Saccharomyces cerevisiae S288C: one gene and its partners. The gene in region 2 interacts genetically with the main gene of each other region. Each region holds a gene or a part of one and is shown on either strand. Other genes may lie near its edges. The genes, in order: RNH70, LRP1 and APQ12.

Region 1 (3,600 bases), on a different chromosome or scaffold from region 2:
AAGTCGTTGATGACATCGCACACTAAGGGTGATACAAGTAAGGCCACCGGTGCTCCTTCTGCTAATCAAGGAGATGAAGCTCTTAGTGTGGATGATATAAGAGGCGCTGTCGGTAATAGTGAAGCCATTCCTGGGTTATCTGCGGGAGTGAACAATGATAATACAAAGGAGAGTAAAGATGTGAAAATGAATTAAAAGGAAAAGTATTATGCATATATATATATATATATATATATATATATTTATATATTTATACACATAGAATTATTTTACAGTAAAGGATGCTACACCACCCCGGGCTAACTTTATGGCTTCTACTATTTCAGGTTCCCTTTCGCGTCTTTTATCTAATCTTTCCTTTTTGTCTTGAATAAACTCTAACTCAGTTGAAAGATTGTTCCATGGTCTTGTGTCGCCTGTACCCGACATGATCAAAATCATAGTACCTGGTGTAGCATTCTCGTATAATTGTGTTAGATGTTGCCCTATATCATGAAGAACCATGGACGCATCGAACGAAGGAGTTTCCTTCCGTGGCTTTTTATTATAGTTGCGTGACCTCTCTAAGTTCTTGATTCTCCCCACAATAAGTTTGACATCTTTATTTAGATTCTCGTGAATATGGGTCCATGTCTCATCATCTTCGACGCAACGGATTAACTGGCCCTTAGAATCGTCCTCAGTATGATTTTTAATAATCATATCGTTGAGAAGAACGGTTTTCACTTCAAAACGATGTAATTTGGTGAACAAGTTCTCCGTATTGATACCTATCCCAAATGCTAACCCATTTAAGATTTTTAATTTCGTCAATTCAAGACAAGCCCTTGCATCTTCGACAGAATCGTGTTCTCCGTTTTGAATGCTTTTATTCAGAAAGGTTTCGCTCAAGTATTTTAAACTTGGCTTGAAAGGATCGCCAGCTTTATGATGGTATATAATAGCTGTATCCACGACCAATGGATGTTTCAATTTCATGACTTTCAAATCATTCTGTAGCGAATGTCCTATCAAAATATCTGAACGACTTATTATCTTTAGTAAATCTTTTTGTACTTCTCGCAATGTTTTCTTGGCACCAACAGTTAGTTTCTCTTCAGTTATACCACTGTAACGTGTCAAATAGTCCACTATGGGGACATCAGGTTTCACCAACTCTTCATAGATAACTTCATTGTCAAAATTCACTAGAGAAATCCTAGTTAGAACTAAACCTTGTTCGGAAAGACACATTTCACAGTCTAGTGCAAAGATGTGGGAGCCACCATGGGTAAAGTCAACAGTTTGTACCCAGTCTGTATCAAAATTGGTGTCTCCAGAATCCAGTGGGTAATCGTTTGCCACTAACTGTTGTTCGGATAGAACCAAATCGTTAATAGTAATTTTCTTCTTCTTTTGTAACTCTTTCAATTTATTTATTTTCTCCATTTTGGACAATCCAACATTAATAAATGAATTGTAGGGCGAAAAGAGCGTCATCTTGGAACCAGGTGCCATCACGGGAAATGTATGAAACGTGGAGGCAATTTCTCCAGGAATATATTTGAAGTTATCATCACTGATTTCATTAAAGGTATTTTTTCCGTTCTCAAAATCATCTGGTTGTAAACCTGGAATGAACAGAACTATCATTTTCTGTAAACTTGACCTGTTACAAATATCAATCCATTTGGGAGAGTTGTTTTCAGCCTGCAACAAGTATTGAGTCATGTCTCTTACATCCTTTATACCAATACCTTTTTCAACCACAGACTTTAGCAATGTGCATGTCATAGGCTTTGCCTTTTTTTTCTTCTTATTCTTATTCACTTCCGATACCACATTTGTATGATCATCCTCTTGTACAGAAGTCTTGGATAACCTTCTTTTCTTTGATCCCAAAGCCAAATCACTCACGAAGTTAGTGTCAGGCCCTTCTACTTGCATGTTTGCCTGAGTATAGTCTATTATTGTTTTCTTCCTCAGTCATCCTTGGTATTGCCATCGAGCAAAAATCTTCCCTCCATTTCTATTGTGTCCTCGCGCCACTTATAAAATACTAACAATAAAATAATAGTGAACTACAACAATAAAATATACAAAAATATGTTTATACGCAAGGGTTTTGTGGAGTGCACGTTGGCGAAGCAGAGGACTTAAGTAGGCGTCTGATTTCCGTGCTGCTTAACTTCTCGCTCCAGCCGTCTTCCTCCCTTCCTCCAAGTACATTAACCACATGTACTGCCAATGGGCTCATGCCTTTTTCAATCCTAGTCTTATTCACAGTCTCTGCCCCACTGACGGTTTCTCTACTCACAACTAAACATTCTATCTCGGGTACTTTCCCTGTGGGGCCGCACACGTCCCTTAAGGGAACTAGTTCTACGGAGAGATCCGGTTTTAACAACTTGATGAATTGATGTACGTGCCTGCATCGTGTATCATAAGGTTCAATCAACTCTTTGTATTTCTTGTTTTGCAAGAGCTCATCGCACGTAATTCCACAAATTAACCTTTGTGACGTGATGAATGTAGAGACGCTCAACAATATTTTATGTCCATCGTGAATGTGGTCGAACGTTCCGCCCAATGCGGTGACATGAAATTTGTTAGCATCTTTGGGACCTTCTATCTCTTCCATTATATTATCGTGTAATGCATAATGTTCTATACTATGGTATTGTCCTTGTCCCAACTCTAGCTTCCAAGTTTCAAAAGTGGATTCCTGTGGCAATAAAACCACTTTCCATTGCAAATTACTCTCGACGAAATGAATATTGTTGAATATGATGTTGATTCCGCTGTTGATCATTCCATAGCCCAAAAGGACATCCCTGGTAATACTGTACATCTTCCCTAGCGCAGAATCCAACTGGAATGAGGTTTTGAATTCAGGTACAATCACGATGTCTAGTTGACTTTGACATTCTCTTAAGAACGGAATAGTTTGCCCTATAATCCTCTGCAAAGTAGCACTAGGCGGTGTATAAGGAAGAACAATCAAAACTCTGGAATTTTCCTCAACCATCTTACACTTCTTTACTTTAGATTTTTAGGTTTAATCACGTCTCTTTTTATGACGGTCCTTATTTTTATCTTTTTCCATTACGTACTCTTGAAAAATTATATTACACTGATATTTATTTTGGCATTGTGAGTAAGAAACCTAAAAAGGAATAAAAAGGCTACAAACCAGCATGTCTACCGCTACCATACAGGATGAAGACATTAAATTTCAGAGAGAAAACTGGGAAATGATAAGGTCACACGTTTCACCCATAATATCCAATTTAACAATGGACAACTTACAGGAATCGCACAGAGACTTATTTCAAGTCAATATACTTATTGGCCGCAACATAATTTGTAAAAATGTTGTGGATTTTACTCTGAACAAACAGAATGGCAGGCTAATCCCTGCTTTATCCGCTTTGATTGCCTTGCTAAATTCTGATATTCCAGATATTGGAGAAACTTTAGCAAAAGAACTAATGTTAATGTTCGTGCAGCAATTCAATCGCAAAGATTACGTGTCCTGCGGAAATATCCTTCAATGTCTGTCCATTTTATTTCTTTATGATGTAATTCATGAAATCGTGATCTTACAGATTCTATTGCTAC
Region 2 (3,295 bases):
CATGGCAAAATGGAAGGTGGTGACAACGAATCCTCGTCAACCTCCCCGGATGAAAGGCAAATTTTCGGTCCTTATGAAATTTATGCTCAAACTTTCGCTGGCTCCACTCACGATAAAAAATTAGGAGCTGGCAGGAAGACAAGTATTCAGGATGAAATGGTCGGATCGTTAGAACAATACAAGAATAATTGGTTAATTTTACAGCAACAAGACTAAGCGCACCTATTCCCTCTGTTATGTTGCTTATTATTTTCTTCCCTTCTGAAATGCATTTTTAGCTTTTTTCATCAATTTGGCATCATCGTGCATTTCAACTTCTAAGTATGAATGCTTTTTGGTAGTTAAGCTTGAAGGGTTTTATGAAAACTCTCTTTTCTTAGATATTTCTACAGTCTTATATAACGTCAATTCACACAAAAGTGTTCACTGCCAACTACAAGAATAGCATATACACATATTAGTTACTTCAACGAGTTCTTATTGTTATTATAAAAGTATATAAACCCTATAAGCATTTTTGCATTTGTGCTCTCACATCACCTTTAATCATTTTTTCACTCATGTACCAGTATACGTCGACCTCTACTTCTTCCCTCCTTTCTTTTTTCCAACTTTATCCAATCTTTTACTTTTCTTACTACTTGCTTTCCTTATATGATCGGTACTGTCAATAATCTTAGTCGTTGTACTCTCTGCCAGTTCATCGTTTTCAAATTTCGTATGCTTCCCTTGAAAGTTGCTCCTGCTTATAGAGGGCTCGAATTGGTTTTTATTACCGTCCAAAACATTGGAAATGATATTCTTAGCTTTTTCTTGCTCTGCCTGCGATTTTTCGTTGGATTTGGTTATCCTATTATCGTATTGTTTAGCCTTATCCATGTATGATTTTACTCTTTTCAGTTCGCCGAGTATAGGAGACATATCTTTGACGCCTAGGACTTTCATATTAGCAAACATCAGAGAACTCAATACATACGCGTAACGATTAATTAGTTCTAATTTAGCCCTCTCATCAGATAATAGCAACAGCTGTTCATCCAGTGACTTCGACGTTAGTTTCTCTATTTCTGGTTTCAGCTCGTCTAACGCCTTTGAAAAACTCCTAACGTATGGTTTTATCTTTTCGATATCTTCCATTACTGATCTAATACTCCGTTACGTTGCTAGATATATGTTTATATTAATCGATTTCTACTGTAGGCTGTTAACCAGTTTTTTCTTCCACAGACTACAGAAGGCACAGTCCATAACCATCTGCCTTAGCTCATCGCTGAAAAACTGCACGAGAATTCGTGAAACGTGACATGTTGGGTACCCGCATGAATAGAAAATATGCTAGTAACGACTCTTCTTTACATTCCCATTGCTGGTGTATGTACGCTGATATGAAAATGCTTGCCCAATAAATACCAAGGTTATGACGTTGCCGCTTTGTATTGTCTTCTAATCTAAAAATCTTTCCACGCCAGTAGTGGCTGGCTTTATGCGGCAAAGATCGCTGTTTCTCCTTTTAGAAGTAAATTTCCACGGAGTATGACGGCCGGACGGACCGGCGTAGTTCATTCTAGTCTTAGGGGTCCTTTACCTTGGCAAAAGCATTTCTAAGTGAAACCCTTGCAGGAGTAGAATTGGGCGCAAAGGTCCCTCGTTGGGATCTGTCCTCCTGGGGGACGGTAGGTGGTTGAATGATTCTGCCTTCTTGAAATACGAAATATCAATCTGTTTCTGCTGGCTCACGGTATCTACTGTAATTTCGTTGCTATTGCCATTGATATTAAATTATTGCTACTGTGTGTGGTTCTTACTCTCCATGGATAGTGTTGAAAATATACAGTAATGACTAGAGATTCAAAAAAGAAGCACCATTGGGGCACTGCCTTTTTAAGGACAATTGGAGTCAAACGTAAGCACAAGAAGGATCGTAATTTTTTAAATAATACTACAGGAGAGAATGTTAGCACAACAGCCAGTGCTGAGCGATTCAGAAGAGTAGGAGGAAATCCGGATATTCCGTCTTTACTTAAGCCCGAAACTTTCACGGAATCTCCTGCAAAAGGATCTCAAAAGGCGGCGGCATCTTCCTTAGCGCATAGCCAAGGTGTATTCAATATTCCAATCGTTATAGATCCCATGGAAACAAACAGGCTTGAAAAGACAAACACGAATTTGACGGCAGGTTCATTGAAGGGTCGCTTTCAGGATGGTAACTCGAATTCAAATTCTGTACCAAGTTTATCCGTCCAGGCATTAGAAAAGGAAAAACTGCAAAGTGGGAAACGAGAAGGGTCCAGCAATCAAGCTGAGGAAAAAACTCCAGACGGCCATGATGAACATACCGCCTTTGAAACGTTTCTTTCCTTCGCCCATAATGCCGTAAGCCACATTCCCAAAATAAACGTACAAGACGCTGACAATGGAACAATTTCCAGGAATGAACCAAAGGACAGGAAAAAAAACTCATCTAATATATCAGGAGCCCTTTCCGAAAATAGCACTAACAATAAAAACACTTCATCGACAAAAGAAAGCGATGGCCCATTTTTGAAAAATTTAGACAATATTCTTGCAGCATCCAAATCATCAACTCCAAGTAACCAACAGCTTAATACAACGGAAGCAGGAAGTAAAAGTAAACCATCATCATTATCTAGATTGGCATTTGGAAATTTGAAAGGCCATATTCACTCGAACTCACATTCAAGCTCTAATGCTATCTCAGGAGATGATACATCATTAGATGACACTAGAAAGATGACGGATGATATGGCCAGGAAAGTGGTTTTCGAACCCATCAGGCACTCTCATGATAAGCCTACCCCCGGAGTTGGAAACTTAAAATTAGAGCACTTCGATGATTCTCAAGCTACTCTTGAAGGGTTAGAGGCAATGTCAGCAGAATCGCTGCCAGAGGCGGATCACCTTGACAGCAGAGGCCCGGTACAACAAAGTAATTTGGAAAGAAAAACTGTTCCTTCCAAATGGTCAGTAGTCAGTTCCTCTACAACAGATGGAGTCAAGCCTAGAAGAAGAGCCAAATCAATGATTAGCGCAATGGCAGATAAACAAAACACCAGTAGCGACGTTTTACAAGATTGTAAAAAAAGATTGTCCTTCAACTCCTCTAATGGCCTAACGAATAACGACCCGGAGTATGAAGACCGCGAACCTAGGGAAATGTCCAAGAAGTTTCTTAACAGGAGGTCATTTTCCCCCGGAAGCATTAGCATGGGAATGAAAGTACTACCTTCGACGGCACTGAAATATTCGCTAAACAAAGTAAAAAACAGCACTGATA
Region 3 (3,157 bases), on a different chromosome or scaffold from region 2:
GTCTTGTGATGGCGGGTGAATTAGGACCGGGGTCCGCTGAGTGTTGAACTTCACAAAGCATATATCATTGACATAATCAGAAACGTGCTTGATCAATTGTGCTATGGGGAGGTCCCGGTGCAAGATTCCAATCATCCTTTTGTTCGTGTCACCTTTGTTCTGTGCCATCAACGACAAATAGTGCGTCACAAGCAGCTTCATCGTGATTCTCTCCTTCAGGTGGAAGTTCAAGAACTGCGAAATTTGAAACTTTGGGTAACACGATTGGATTTCCTGAAGACCTTTTGCCAATACCACAATGGCGTCCTCGTGGTCGTCCAGCAGTTCTGTGAACTTGGCCTGTATCTTGGGAGGATTGTGCAACTCGTACGGGTATGCGATTGATAGCAACGTTTGCAAGCTTTTCAAATACAAAGAGTTGGTTCTCTCAATATGAGGGTTGATTACCGCATTATACGGTAGCCTCTGAATGGCATTAAGCCGTTTACACGTCAATGAAAGCAACAGGTTGATTGTCTTGATCGTCAGCATGTACTCCTCCTTCTTGGTCAGCGGCGGCCTGTATTGCAGGAAATACTCGTAGTTTAGGGGCGCAATTGGTTTACTAGCGTAGTCCTGTATCAGCAGCTCAATGTTCGACCTAATCTTGTAATGCTGGTCGAACGACAGTTGCGACAGCAGCTCGTGTGAGGGTCGCTGGCGATGTGCCCAGCGCATTCCCCCACATTTCCATGAACGCATAATCTTCCACATACTACCGTGAAGGCGTCTTGATACCACGTCTTCCAGTTATGGTCTTGACTCACCAATGTTCTCAGTTTAATGTTGTTTGCTTCATACTGGCAGACATTTTCCCTTATTACCGTGAGAAGCGAGCGGTGGATTAATCGGGATGTCAAAAACAAGAAAATTGCAACCTTCTTCACCTATAACCTATATGATTTGTAGGCAGAGGAGTGGAATAAGCAACAAATCATAGTCATCAATGTCGTTTAATGCCTTCGCCAGCTCTTTGAGCAAGAAATTACAGGAAATATCCACAAGTGTTTCCGAAAAAACCCAGGAATTGCCCAGTTTGGCGCAATCCACCCAAAGAATGGTCCAGGAACGTTTGGGCCAGGTGACGGACATCTCCCAATTGCCAAGAGAGTACACAGAGCTGGAAGATAAGGTTGACACCATCAAACTGATTTACAACCACTTCTTGGGTGTAACTGCTATCTACGAAAACGGATCGTACGATTACCCTAAATACATCAACGAATCCGTCAACGAGTTTTCAAGAAGCGTGGCTTCCAAGTTGACAGAGTTGACTCATGCTACATCTGCGTCTGAGGCACAAAACATCTTAGTTGCTCCAGGCCCCATCAAAGAACCCAAGACGTTGAACTACGCCCTCAGTAAAGTGGCTTTGAACTCCAGTGAATGTTTGAACAAGATGTTCCCCACCGAGGAACAACCCTTGGCTTCGGCACTCTTGCAATTCAGTGATGTGCAGGCTAAGATTGCTCAAGCTAGAATTCAACAAGATACCTTGATTCAAACCAAATTCAATAAAAATTTGAGGGAAAGGCTCTCTTTTGAGATCGGTAAGGCCGATAAGTGCCGCAAGGATGTCCATTCCATGAGATTAAGATATGACGTGGCAAGAACTAACTTGGCAAACAACAAGAAGCCAGAAAAGGAAGCTTCCTTGAGAGTCCAAATGGAGACTTTGGAAGACCAGTTTGCTCAAGTCACTGAAGACGCTACTGTGTGCTTGCAGGAGGTTATTTCTCACGCTAACTTCAGTGAAGATTTGAAGGAATTGGCCAAGGCTCAAGCTGAGTATTTTGAAACCTCGGCTGGCCTAATGAAAGAGTTCCTATCCAACTCATTTGCGGAAGAGCCGGAAGCAAAGCCTGAGGTTGCAGAAGAAGAAAAGCCACAGACAGCTATCTCTATGAATGACGAAGACGACGCTTAATAGCCGCCCTGTTCTTGTCTTTCTCTCTCCTTCTCTATATATATATATTTACTTAATACAATATCATATTCTCTAGTGTCGTACGAATATTATCATTTATTTGCTGGCTTTTGTAGTGAGTATATTTTTTGTAGAGAAAATATAATTACTGGAAGAGAAAAAGCTACTGAAAAAAATTTCGTAACAGTCACCAAAGGGCAAAGTGAGCAACCCAAAAATGGACGCTACTCAACCGCAATACGAACTATCCGTAGTAACACAATGCCTAAAGTCTGCCATTGACGTCATCCAATGGTTGATTCCTACTATTACTAAGTTCAGCCAATCACACCCGTTAGTTTTCCAACTATTGTTTATTTTCTTCACATTTTATGTCTTTTACAAGTTGTTGATGAACTTCATTACTCTGGTCAAAAGATTCCTGTATTTGACGTTGGTAGTAACATGTATCGGTATTTATATGCGTGGTTCGCAGCAGTTTTTGACTGTGGACCTGTTGAATTTCTACAATTTCGTCATGTCAAATAGATACTACGCATTTAAAATTTATACTCTGTTTATTAATGCCCTGGAAAGAGAAATCAACACTGTTTATCATTTGGCGCAGATGAAAATGGAACAGTTGCTTAAATAGAGCGAAACGCCTCTGCTTACTCGGAACATCTTAAAGTAATTACATATCTTAATTTCTAAATATTCATATAGATAAAGAACGTTTTTTTTGCTAGATTCCTCCCCTAGTCACTATCAAATATTGAGCTATTTTTGGTGACTTGTGTTTTCCAAATTATTCATTACAATTGTGACTTGATTTCTGAAGTTTTAAGAAAAATTGCAAACTAAGTTATTACAAGCGATTTATCCGGTCGCGATTGAAGAACTGAAAACAACAGCAGCAGCATTGTACCAAGAATCCCAAGATGCTCAGGTGTGCGGTCAAGAAGTTTGCATATTTTGCCACCTTCCTCACTATCGTCGCTAATATTTACATCTATACTTATCCATCTTTCCATCCAGAACAGTGTTCATGGAACTGCTCTAACAAGAACGCACCACTACAGAAAGATTTGACTTTTGTGGACAAAGTGAAGAATTACTTCAGTGATGTTCGAGAGCAATGGCATGGTAGCCATGCCTCTGCAGGTAACGATGAGGATATTCATATTTTGGCCTTCGGTGATCCTCAGATTA

Evidence for each region.
Region 1: mutations in LRP1 (region 2) and RNH70 are lethal when combined (synthetic lethality), as found in Saccharomyces cerevisiae (7 studies listed by BioGRID, with this or other methods).
Region 3: mutations in LRP1 (region 2) and APQ12 together harm fitness less than expected from each alone (positive genetic interaction), as found in Saccharomyces cerevisiae (5 studies listed by BioGRID).

What each region holds. Positions count from the first base shown.
Region 1 is NC_001139.9:1,043,555-1,047,154, forward strand, and holds RNH70 (Rnh70p), read right to left. Parts: upstream 1,927-3,600; coding exon 265-1,926; downstream 1-264. Other genes in the region: RTT102 (Rtt102p), read left to right, coding at 1-195; CAB4 (putative pantetheine-phosphate adenylyltransferase), read right to left, coding at 2,090-3,007; U2-type spliceosomal complex subunit CWC22, read left to right, coding at 3,177-3,600. UniProt on the Saccharomyces cerevisiae protein: 3' exoribonuclease required for 5S rRNA maturation and for the proper maturation of the 5' cistron of the tRNA-Arg3 dicistronic gene. Involved with REX2 in the maturation of the 5.8S rRNA, and with REX2 and REX3, in the 3' processing of the U5L snRNA.
Region 2 is NC_001140.6:265,380-268,674, reverse strand, and holds LRP1 (Lrp1p), read right to left. Parts: upstream 1,138-3,295; coding exon 583-1,137; downstream 1-582. Other genes in the region: putative serine/threonine protein kinase KSP1, read left to right, coding at 1-216; LAM4 (Lam4p), read left to right, coding at 1,837-3,295. UniProt on the Saccharomyces cerevisiae protein: Required for exosome-dependent processing of pre-rRNA and small nucleolar RNA (snRNA) precursors. Involved in processing of 35S pre-rRNA at the A0, A1 and A2 sites. Required for activity of RRP6 in 7S pre-rRNA processing.
Region 3 is NC_001141.2:275,540-278,696, forward strand, and holds APQ12 (Apq12p), read left to right. Parts: upstream 1-2,183; coding exon 2,184-2,600; downstream 2,601-3,157. Other genes in the region: protein kinase PKP1, read right to left, coding at 1-753; GVP36 (Gvp36p), read left to right, coding at 986-1,966; TED1 (Ted1p), read left to right, coding at 2,887-3,157. UniProt on the Saccharomyces cerevisiae protein: Involved in the regulation of lipid homeostasis in the endoplasmic reticulum, thereby impacting nuclear pore complex biogenesis and localization, and nucleocytoplasmic mRNA transport.